Linked DNA regions of Drosophila melanogaster. The protein of the gene in region 1 interacts with the protein of each later gene in a pairwise test. Each region holds a gene or a part of one and is shown on either strand. Other genes may lie near its edges.

Region 1 (4,904 bases):
AAGTTCTCCCTGTAGATCTCTAGTTTGTCCTCTGCATTCGAGGAGAGATTCACATAGCTCTCGCGCACGCCTACCACTAGCTGGGCATCATAGGCATCGCCGTTCCGCTCGGCGTGCACAATCTTCATGGCCGACTCCTGCAGACGATGCTTGATGTCGTGGAATATGTGCTTGTTCCAGGAGTCCAGCATTAGTTTTCGTACAGGACTGTCCTCCGTGGGGTTTTTCTTGGAGGTAGAGGTGCTGCTGCTGGAGCTCCCACTTCCGGAAGCAGCTGCAGCTGCCGCTGCTGAGCTTGTGGAGGCGGATGTGGAGGCTGCAGCAGCGGCGGCTGAAGTGGAGGCTCCAGCTGCGGCTGAGGTGGAGGCTCCTGACTTTCCAGCCTGGCCGCTGCAGGAAGTAGCTGCTGCCGCCGCGGCGGCACTCGTACTCGCTCCCGAGGCGGAGACGGATGCGGAGGAGCTGCTGCCACTGGAGGAGGGCTTCACCTGGGGCGACTGCTCCAGCTGGCGGAAAGGCAGCGGCAGGTAGTTGGACTGTGTAAAGAACTTCCGCCACTCCACAATATAGGTGGCCAGAAGGGCCTGCTCGCCCCGTTGCGCTTGCACCTGGCTTTGGGCCTGGACGATAAACTCAACGATGTCCTGCTGCAGGCAGTCGTAGATCTTGGCCGCGCCCTTCTCGTCCCACAGGCACACGAAGTGTACGCCGAAGAATAGGTCCTGCCATTCGCGCTGCGACACCGTGTCCTGGCGCAGTAGCTTTAAAACTATTCGCCTTTTGTCCGGCCAAACTTCCTCGAAGATGTCCCTGTCCCGTTTCCCGATTGCCTGTCGTACAGGGAGATAAAGGTATATGTGCACACTGAACTCTATATGCGTTTTCATCGCCGATCAGGTCACTTACCCGTAGCATTTTGATCGTAGCAATCTCTTTGTTTTTGTTGCTGCGTCCGCTTCACTTCATTTATATTTATTTTTTGTAATTAGGCGATACGATACGATAGTTGGCTATCGACCAGTGTTGGTAAAATTTCGCCCGTAGGGCTTATCGCCCATCGACCAATCGATTTCGGGCAGTCGATAAAACAACAGTTCGGAGTGCAGCAAAAGTGCGGGAAATCTGCGGAAATGTTATTAATCGAACATTAAGGGATACCTCGCCCAGCCGCGGTAATAATAACCAAGGAGAAATAGGGCAATAATACAAAGTTGTCTTGTCGAGGGTTTTGTGAAGTTCGCTAGTTTGCCCACTTCGTTTTGGTTTTTTTCTTCTCTACCTCTTCGTGCGCGAGTGAGACAAAAGCAGTACTAGCAGACATCTCGGTCTAGCACACGTCCCCGACCTAATGTCTGGTCTGCATTGTTTCAGGGCTGTCAGATGTGCCTGAAATACTCAGTTCCGCATTTCAAAATATCGCTTACTATTTCGTGTTCTAAAAATAATATATTTTGTTTTTAGTGCGGAAACTTGTATGGTTTTCTTTATATTCTTATTTGTTAAACTAGTAAAATAAAGTTATTTATCAATTTAATTTCGTTACGTTATTGCCGTCTTGATGTTTATTTACATTCAAAAAGTCTTTCACAGACAGGTGTCAACCCTAGTTTTTATAACTTATCGTAAACAACGCGCTTAAATCTTTATAAATCACAAAGAGTTTTCTAAGCTTTTATTAAAGTGACTGTTTTATTTATAAACATTGAATTCTTGTAGAAAACCATATTTTTTAGAGTGAATACAATCGATGGTTGCGGGGCAAACATCGATGCTGCCAGTTATCTGTATACATCGATAGTATCGACTAACCATCGGCTTCTCTTCCAGCTCTAGCATTCACCATTTCCCTTTGTTTGCGGCGGCGGCGCTCGTTGTACGGCCGTGCGAATCGAGAGAAAAACGCATAAAATCGGGGAAAGTGCACTAGCCCCGTGCTGCAATGTAAATAAACAAGGCTCTGATGAGCAGTTGCCGATCAAGTGCTTCGATTAGCCAGCAAAATGTGCGTACAAGGCGAGAATCAGTGACGAAAACAACAACTACGTGCTGCTGCGTTCATTGACGTGACGCGCGAGAGTGAATGTGTGCGTGCGTGTGTGTTTGTGTGTGTGTGCTGGCTGCTGGCGAGTGAGTGTGTGCGTGCTCCCCATATGTGTGTTGTCGAAAAAGCGTTTTTCAAACCACAAGCCAGCAACAAACAAATCACAACAGCACGTCACAAATTGCAATAGAAGCAGAAGCAGCAACACCTCAAATCAAAAAAAGGCCCCACAACAACAACATCTGTCGAGTTCTCAGAGAGTGAGAAAAAGAAAGAGCGCGTTAGAGTGAGAGAGGGGCAAAAAGAAAGTCAACAGTCGCGTGTGAAATGAAATTCGAAAGATGTCCGCGTGTGTGTGTGTTGAGTGTATAGAATTGAGTAAGAAGCAGCGCGGCAAAAGGAAATAAGCAAAAGCAATAGCCAAAAGGAACCAACAACCAGCAGCAACAAATTACCCAATGAATCAATCAAAATTGGCATAATTTGCATTCGCCGACGTTATTGTCTATAAAACCCCCCTGAAAAAAACACCACACAACAGAAGAGCAGCACAAATCTTTTGCCAATGAGTCGCAGACAGTCATTGGATCGACCAGGTGAGAAAATGCCAATCAAAAACACACACAAAAAAACTACGAATAGAAAATCCAAATTCGTAATCACGCTTACTGAGAGCAAGAGCAAGAGCGTGCAGCATCCGATTCTGATTTTAAAAATGCACTTGCGCACGTTCTCTTCGCCGCTCTTCTCGCTGCTTCGCTCTCGCTGCTCTTTCGTGCTAAAAATAAACGCTGGCTGCGCAGCTGCTCCCAAACACTTGAACTTTGTAAACACCTCCGACACTCCAACAATTCGGCCATTGTACAGTGACAAAAACCAGCGTAATTATGAGTCTTCATCAAAAAGCCAAATCACTGAAAACTATAAATGAATGCAAGGGGCGGCCATCCGCTCTCCACTCGCTCGCCATTCTATTTTTAACCCGACTTTCATCACTCTCGAGCGGGGAAAAGAGAAAGTATCTGTCACTGTCTTAAGCAGATGTAAATGTGCCTCATATAACTATAGCCTTTATGCACTGTTTGTCCATGTGTGAGTGTTGTCCGGGAAGAAAGCAGCAGATCAAAAATCACCAACTTTGGTTTGTTTGTGTTTTGTTTTCGCCAGGGCAATTAGTATTATGGGCGAATAATACCATGGTAAAAGCCAGACGCTTGAAGTTTGGTCTGTTTTGTTTGAGGAACTTATCGGAAGTTCATAAAGATTGAGCCAAATTTATTATTACTTTTTAATAAGTAAAAAGTAAGCTTTGGAAAATGCATTAAGCAGCAAATGAGAAAGGATAGGTGGTACATGGATGAGACTATTGTAATCCAGCTATTAAGCTAATTAGCCGTCAATCTATTAAGCCAGCTTTACGAATATTTATGCTATCATTTAGATTTAGTGTTGGAAAGAAATCTATTTCCCCCAATCCTAGGGCCGCAATTTGCACTGCAATGCTGGCACACAACAACAATAGTAATGGGCTTAGACGTAGCTGCTTGGCGTTGAGGAATGCTGTCCACTTATCAGCTGCAATTAGCAATGAATGTTGAATGCAAGCCGTGCATCGCTTTGGGAACTCAGACTGTCCGGCCCCTCCACACACTAACATACACACACTACAACTCACATACAAATGCTAACACATACTCCCACGCTGTGTTCCTTTAATTTATTTATAACATTCAATGTAAACTCTGCTCAAGCGCCAGAGTCAAACGGCACAAACAATTTTCGATGCAAGGCAACAAAAACAGGGGCCAGCAGTTGCGTTTGCTTGATTTTTTTATTATTTCCCACTTTGTAGGTCAGGGTTGTCGTGTGTAATGCAAAACGTGCCAGCAAATTGAATGAATAAGCGTGGCTATTCCACTGCAAGTGCATTTACAACAATTGCAGGGTATTGCCAGAAATTAGCCACAGTCAAATAAATAAGGCATAGAATAAAATCAACTGTACAGCCATGCTTAATTGGTGTATAGAATTTCGCGTGATTTCCAATTGCAGTTGATAACCGGTTCGCTTCGAGCTAAACCAACTCGATAATAATCTTTGTTATTCCCGAATGACTTCCGTTTCCACTTAAATTAAATGTAATCAGTCTGTTGCTTTATTTTAACTAGTAAACTATGGCAAAAGTACAAAGCATGATAAGCTGGAAATATGACATTTTTTTATATGATTAAAATACGATAGTTCGCATTAAGAATTGGTCAGTGGCTGCATTTCTTTTTGTGAGAAATGTCGCTGTCATAATTGATTAAAGACGAAGAATAGCTATAAAGAAGTGACAACGATTATTTTTAACTATAGTGCTTGTTTTGCCGCCATTTCCTAATCTCCACTGACCCTATTTCCACCCATTACCCGGAACGTTATCGATATTTACACTGTTTACATGCGATACGATTGTGGTTATACAAAGACGTTTTGGCAGTGTTTACATTGGAAACGTTTTCCATCTACCGGCTGATAGATTGTTATTATTACGGCCGGGGGCATAACGCTCTGGAATTTGCATTTAAACCCGGTTTAGAAAGTGGATCGGGGGAATACACCCTTGGCATTCATTTGGCGGAGGCGTTTCGGACAATCTGATTCGATTTGTTTTGGTATTGCTTCGATTTTCGCGCTGTCTTCTTCGCGTTGACGCGTGACAAAGAGTCATTAAGTTCTGTTTAAGGTGAAATCGATTTTCCGGGCCATTAGGCGCCATTAGAATCGACTCTTATTTGAATTTTCACATTGTTTAATTATTATTGCGACGACAACTTTGGTAGCCATTATTTATTAATCAATAAACAAAATAAAACCTTAT
Region 2 (7,847 bases), on another chromosome or scaffold:
TTGGAGCCCAACGACATGGACATTATGTAAGCAGTGGGCGGCAGCACAACACTGCACCGCGTCACAGATGGCCAACATACGGGAGCACTGCCGCGAGATTAAGATTTTGGATATATAACTCCTGATCTTGAATTATGAGGTAAAATTGGTAGGACCGCGGCACTGAATGCCAAATATCCATTACTATCTGGGTAATAGTGGTGGCTGTTTGGGTGGGTGTTTTGAGGTCCCTCATGTTGACAAATTGTTCTTTAAATTCTTGCGATAAAATAGTTAATCTTGATAAGTTTGTCATAAAAAAGTTTTAATGAGTTTGTAATTAATAAATTAATTAGTTTTCAACGAAAACAAATGTTTTAATTAATTTTAAACGTTTAGCTATATTCACGCTAACTCTATCCACAAGATTTTGCAGCACTGACGCTGACACTTTTGATGTGGCCAGTTTTTGCGCAGAATTCCGCATTGTTTACCTCGCTGCTAAAAAGTTTTTAGCGCAATTCCAATTATTATTGTTAATAATAGTAAACAAATCATACGACAACATGACTGCCGTTCCACCCCCCTCCAACATCTCTACCCTAATGCCATTGGGTACGTAAATCTGCTACAGGTCTACAAATCGAGAGTTTCTAACTTTTGCCGGCTTCCCGTACTACCCTACAGAATTGGTGGACAAATGCATCGGTTCCCGCATCCACATTATCATGAAGAACGACAAGGAGATGGTGGGAACTCTCTTAGGATTCGATGACTTTGTGAATATGCTCTTGGACGACGTAACGGAGTATGAAAATACCCCCGACGGCCGCCGCATCACCAAACTGGATCAGATTCTGCTCAACGGGAACAATATCACAATGGTGGGTGCTCTTTTTCGAAGTTACATACGTTTGTTTATTAAATTTCATTTATAATTTGATTTCAGTTGGTGCCTGGCGGAGAGCTGGCGGAGTAGCAAGGTTCCATTTGTAAACATAAATACATTTGTAAAATATCAAAACGGTCGTTTTAATGTGGATAATATTGTGTCGTATGTAAATGTTCGAGGTATGTTAGAAGTTAGCAGTGGTCAAGTGATTAACAGCAATGTTAACAGATTTTTGGTCCTAACAGATACGAATTTGAAAACGCTTGGCTTAGGAAATGAAAATTATTTGCCCTCTAATCTCAGAATAAAACACTATATAATATTACCTAATATACAAAACATTGTTAAATTATCAATTGGAATAGAATTAATTTTACATAAATAAGCATATTTTATGCTTATAGGGACCGGATACACTTGAAATGGAATACCGAAAAAGGTCGACCGCTAATAATTCTGTAAAATGACTTCCAAGCTTCAAAAATTCAAACTTCACATTAAATATTTAGTGTCTTTCCGTTAACATTCAACCGCTACTTGTGCTCTGGCTGCCATGCAAAGTAGGCGCATGCGCTCCATCCCCAAAATGTTGGGTCTCAGCGATACAGCAGTCAACATGTGCCATAAATATTAACCGCTTTTCCCTTCTGGCCGTGCGTGTGGGTGCAGTGCACTCTCCGCAGTACCGCTCTGCTCTGCGTGCGTTCTCCCGCTTCCGTTCGGCACCTCCAGCGTTCAGTACGGCAGCAGGCTTCGACGGAAGTGGAACAAACCAAGCGGAAACAGACTCACGCGACAACAAAACCGAACCGAACTCGAATATGGAAAACTTTTACCCAGAACCGATATAGCACTGATAAACGCAACTCGGAGTGAACTTTATGAATGGCCATGACTAATTGCAGTCATCTAGCAGCAGCCACAGTCGATGTGTGAACTTCAGTGGTGAAGGTTGTCCGGTTTTGCAGCGAAAGATACCCGTGTTTCGGTATCTGTATCTGTCGGTGTCTCATTTGAGCGGCTCGAATGATCCGCCTGTAATTATGACTGCGTGAAGAAATCAATAAGTGGAGGATGGCCAGCAAGCCCATGAGCACCAGCTGCCAAAGCATTGCGACGGCGGCCAGCAGTGCGGCCACCACGGCGGCAGCGGTGTCCATCTCGGCCTCCAATGCCACCTCTGTAGGCTCCCTCATCGCCGCCGCCTGCCAGCAGGAGCAGCCACATCCCCACCAGCACTATTCCCAGTCCCAGCAGCAACACCTCTATCATCAGAGCCATCAGCAAGCGTCGCACTATGTCAATGGCACCGGCAGCTTGGGCAGGCTCAAGTTCCACAAGAGTCTCGATGCCAGCGACGAGGAAATCGAGTATGCGCAGGTATGTCCAAGTGGCCAAGTATCCAACTGCTAGTCGGAATCGTCTCCAACTGAATTCAATTGTGCCCCACACTGAGTCATAATAATGCGACAAGGTCCTGCACTGCTGGCTCAATTGAATTTGTCTTGTGGGTGGTGGCGGTGTTGGGTGGTGTGTGATGGATGGTGGTTGCTTGCTGCCTTGTTGAGTGGGTGTACTTGGGGGTGGTTTGCGCAACCTAGCTCCCATCCCAGTGCATTTGCTGCCCCCACAGCTGTTTAACCCACCAGCCGGGTCGTTATGCATAGTTTACGCTTCGCCAGGCAACCTCAACAGCCGCCAACAACCGCCGTCGTCGATCAAGTGTTAATAATTCAATGCCCCGGAAATAGTCATATATTGAAATATATCGTACACCCTGCGAGCAGCTTAGTCCCTGCAAGGGCCTTGACTTTGGCCAAGGCAATTTGAAAAATTAACCAGTTGGATTAATTTATGGGTCACTAAATGAAAGGGGCATGTTTGCGAGCATGCCATATTTACAGCACCATTAATGGGGAGCTCGGTCAAAATTTCTACTAAAGTCACGATATGAGCCACAATATAAAAATGAATGCAGTTAATACAGCTTTAATTTGAGGACTACACCTAAACACAGTTTTTACTAGAATTAATGGAATTAAACTTACATACTCAAATGAATTAAACCGTTCATAAGGCAGAAACGATGAATTCGTGCACCATTTTTTTTATAGTTTTCTAACTCATTTTCTCCGCGTTTTCTTTTTTAATGAAAATCTTTACAATTTCATTTAAAACGGGCACTGTATTTCTGTACATAATGCCATACAATTTGCTCTTCCTTGCCGATGGCATTATAGTCGGCGGGAGGTCTGTTCTAAAGCCTTTCAAGCCAGTTATTACGCCCGCACAAAAAAGCGTTAATGAAAGAACTGTGCTGTGTCTCTATACTTAGCATGTTGTATCTAAAAATAGGTGTCATCGATATAAATATAAAAATATTATTAGTACACTTGTTTATACCATGAACTTTTCCGAAACTTTAAGCTTGACTATCTTACAAATATTGTTTTTTGTTTTATTCTACTACCAACTTGTTAATCCGTGGAAATGGCTTGCATGGTATTATTTTGTCCGTACCTGTATTCTGGGTTGGTTTGCTTTTCCCTATCTAACCCGCTTTCCTTTCGGGGGGGCAGTGAAAGTGTTGCCTGCTGGGGGCTTCATCCTGTATTCATAGAAATGCTTTCAATAAAAGCAGGAAGAACAGTAGGGACGAAGGAATGGGCTTGGCAAACATCATTTTGATGGTTTGCACCACCACACCTGGCGGCTATTTGGTGTGCCACATTGCCTAGACGTGCAAATACCCGGAAGTGCCAACGATAGTTTAGCATATAAGCTTTTCACTTTCACCGCAAATCAACACATTCCTTTCACAGATAGAGAGCACAGCTCTCCAATGGCCAATGTGGTTTGAATTGCTATAGAGAATTGCGTTCTTGCTAAAGGAATTCCATATTATTGTACAATATTACATATTATGCACGTTTAATATTTAATGACATTCCAGTTATCCCGTTCTACCCATATCCTTGGGCGCCACAAATCCGAGCGATATCTGGCCTCCAATCCGGACGAGGACCGAAGACGTCGCACCATAATCGTTGAGAAAAAGAACAACTCGTATGGATTCACGCTGCAGAGCTACGGGATCCACTACAAACGGGATGAGGAGCTGGAAATGATCACATACGTGGACTACGTGGAGTACGGAGGTCCGGCCTATCGAGCTGGCATGCGTGAGGGAGACGTAATCCTCTCCATTAACGGAAAAGATATGGAGAAGGCGGACCACAAGACCATCGTCGAGTTCATCAAGCAATGCGACACCAGGATGAGAATGGTAGTGCTTTTCGAGGACTGTGTGAGGAAGGTAAAGTATTTAAAGGATAGAAAACTAAAACGTATTTCTGATAAACGTGTGATTCCCCAGGTGGATCTCCACATGCGCTACATCCAACTGCAGAGCATGTTGCAGCAAAAGATGAACGAACTGGAGAGGGTACACCTCAGAGAGCGTGAGTTATTGGAGGGCAAGTGGAAAACGCACAGTTTGCCAGCGCGTAAGAAGGCCAATGCGAATACTTCGCCCAGTGATGGAGAAGGAGTATCACCCACAGAGGTGGCTGGTGAAGCTGGCTTCTACCGACCCGCTTTGTCCACCGAGGATGTGCCCAATATTGCCGCCCGCCAGCATGGGGTCGGTGGCCCAGGAATCATACCTCCTCCCGCTCAATTTATGCTCACCTACCACTACCTGGATCCCACATACCGCTACGTCCTGCGACCCACGCACGGCAGCTCAGAGGAATTCGTTGACGGATTGGGTCTTCAGCGGAGCAGTAGTGATCACCAGCCGCCGGCACAGCGCTATGTCCTCCAGCAAACCGAATCTGTGGATGCAAATTCGATGACTCAACCCACAACAACGGCTCCTACCCAATATCACAGCACCACGGGTGGATCGGTGAAGCCACCCGCACCACCTCCTCGCACCTGTGAAAAGCACAAGCCACCTGCTAAGCCACCAAAGCCAGAGAAAGAAAAGTCATCGGGCAAGCATTGCCATGTGGGACACTCGTGCAATCCCTGCTTGGGTCACTTTCGCTGGAAGTCGGCGGAGAAGTCAGCTGTTCCGGCGCCGGATAACGTGAGCTTGGATGCCTATGATCTGGCCAGTCCGTGCTGCGATACACATTGTGTGCCATCAAGAAGACGTCATCGGCAGCATAAGGAGCACACGCATAAGCACAAACATCGTGACAGGGAACGGGTGGAGAGCAAGGAGCAGAGGGTCAGACCCAAGTCCACATCCCATGCCTCACCCAATGCCAACGGGGGTGCAGGATCTGGACATCACCACCATCATCATCATCACCATCATAGCCATGAGCAGCAGCAGCAACAACAGCAACAACAACAGCAGCAGCAGCAGCAACAACAGCAGCAGCAACAACAACAGCCCATTCAGACTGTTCCGCACCACCACCACTATCCCCACCAGATGCACAATCCCTGCCAGGTGCAATCCCAAAGTGGTAGCACCCGATCCCGCTACTTCGACTTGGCATCCGGCTTAGCCAGCCACTGTAGCTTACATTCCTGCACCTCAAGTGAGTTTGCTACAGGAGACACAGCTTCATATACCACATCCATAAGTACGGATACTTTGTTTTGGGATCCCACAAGTGAGACGGCTCAGTCCCGACAGCACTCCACAAAATCCAGGCAGTCCTACGAGCAGCAGCCACAACAGCAGCAGCCAACTCACCAGGGACACCACCACCATCATCATCACCAGGGGGATTACCACCAACGATATCATGTGACCACCACACAAATGCAACCGCAGCAGATCTATCCCAACACTATAGCCTATGTCCAGAAACCAAAATCCTGGGACAATCTAGCCAACAAGGCGGGCTTTAATGTGGGTTACGGTTACCTTGACACTGTGGCCGTTAAGCCAGCCATAAAAATGCAAATTGCCCAGCAGCGTCACTCGATGCCGCGAAGGAACCCGTACGGCAGATACTCCACTTACGGCGATGTGGAGAACTATGCCCCACCGCCCACCGAGTTTGTGGGCGAGCTGACCACCACCACAACCACCACAATTACGGCCAAGTCCACGGAGGAGCTGTTGGCCGCCTGCGATTGCTTGACGCCTCAGCAACAGGCTGCCATTAAGGCGGCCCAGTACCAACTCAGTCAAAATCAGAAGCTGTCCCACCAGAACTCCTGCCAGTTGGGATACTACTCGCATCTGCCGCGACCTACCACTGATGTGGGCACCTCCACCACTAGTCAGCAGGTGCATGGTGCAGGAGATGTCCAGACGACTTCGGAGGCCACCAGATTGTAGGTCAAAGTTGTCTAGACCGTAACGAGATCCGTCTCAAGAATAATATGAGTGCACCATGGGTAGAGGGTGATGATCAAATAGTTTTGAAGTTTGATAGGCGTGTTCAGTTAATAGAGGTTTAAAACTAAATGTTATTTTAAATGAGAAAGAATTGAATGAGTATGAAAAAAAATATTGAATAGAATAAAAGTCGAATCAATCATTTTGATTAGTCTGGTAATTAAATTATTATTTAAAAATAAAAATAGAATTTTCTTTCTAAACTGATATCTGTATATTCAATGTTGTGTAATTTTTGAACAAAATTATATTAGGTATTTAAGGAATAGATAATTTAATATTTTGTAGCTTGACTAAAAAATGTAGAAAATTATTTGTTTGGTATCCAAATGTAGTCAATGGTGAAAAAAACCTTCTTAAAAAAGATAAGAATTTAGTACTCATTCCAAACTTACCTCATTCAAATCAACTCACACGCCTAACCTGTGCATGATTCACTTAGTTGAACCGCTCATGAGTGCACTCATATTCTGATCCATTCGCGTCTTCGAAAACCGAACATCGAACTCATTTGAAATGGTAACTAGAGCCAAATTTTAAACATATAACTCAGACAAAAATCAACATGTAGCTTAACTATTCAATAATATGTTAAGTGAGTTTTATAAATGTAAGATAAATATTTAGCATCCAAAAACCGCAGGACAATACACAGAGATAAGCCCAAAAGAAGATACTTCTAAGAGTAGATGATTCAGAAATTAGAACACCTTAAGACCTATAAAAACTAAACTTATAGCTATCTTCTGTTTGTGAAACTCACTTAATATATAGGCGATATAACTAGGACGCTTTGACGTTTAGATTTTTGGATTTATTGAAAGACTGAAAAGCCACGCGCATATTCCAAATGAGAGAAAAATCTGGCGTCTTGTAATGATAGATAGAGGATTATATATGTATCTGTATTTGCCATATAATATGGTTAACCTATCATGCGACTAGATACTGTTTTACATGTAGCATATACACACTTAAGCATATATATTTATTGCATACTGTATCCGAACAATGTAATTTATTTCATTGTGATAGTGAAAGAGCACTAAAAACCGCAACAATTTTAGTCGCATTTTTATCAAGCAACCAACCAAATATAATTTAAAACGCTTTTATGTAATGCGAAATGTAAATGTTATTGAACTTATGTATTGCAATAAAACTCAAGAAATGTGTTCATGTAGTGTGACCCCTAGATAAAAATAGAAACAGAACAAGATATATTATTGGTAGGAGGAGGAATTATTCTTTATTCCTGCGAAAATTTTCTAAAAATAAGGTGTACATAGAATTGAATTTATTTAATAAAAATCGGCTTTATGGGTTAATAAAAACTTGTGGAACACCCCAGGGAATTTCATCAGCTGATTGGCTCGAAAGTGGCGCCACCTACCGTACCTATTGGTCATTTTACAACCCCTGTAGAGTGTTACCATTGGAAGTCTCCACATGTAACGTCTTTTCGCCGGTCAGCTGTTCATCCCCCGCGAAATTGGCAACTGTCAGCGACGCCCTCTGTTGGCCATCGCTGGCACCAGGCAGCTGTCAAAGTGGCAAAAAAATCAATACCAACCCCCAACCCTCCTCGTTAAAAATGTAAATGCGAAA

What was found.
Region 2: the proteins of Bicra (region 1) and ssp6 interact in a two-hybrid assay, tested with the Drosophila melanogaster proteins (one large-scale study listed by BioGRID).

The regions. Positions count from the first base shown.
Region 1 is NT_033777.3:29,061,976-29,066,879, forward strand, and holds the start of Bicra (BRD4 interacting chromatin remodeling complex associated protein), read left to right. Parts: upstream 1-1,852; 5' UTR 1,853-2,606; coding exon 2,607-2,637; intron 2,638-4,904. Other genes in the region: Cul5 (cullin 5), read right to left, coding at 1-830, 907-915.
Region 2 is NT_037436.4:6,075,095-6,082,941, forward strand, and holds ssp6 (short spindle 6), read left to right. Parts: upstream 1-1,627; 5' UTR 1,628-1,945; coding exon 1,946-2,251; intron 2,252-3,824; coding exon 3,825-4,187; intron 4,188-4,247; coding exon 4,248-6,179; 3' UTR 6,180-7,397; downstream 7,398-7,847. Other genes in the region: CG13295 (uncharacterized protein), read right to left, coding at 1-23; CG6610 (uncharacterized protein), read left to right, coding at 546-594, 667-863, 929-958.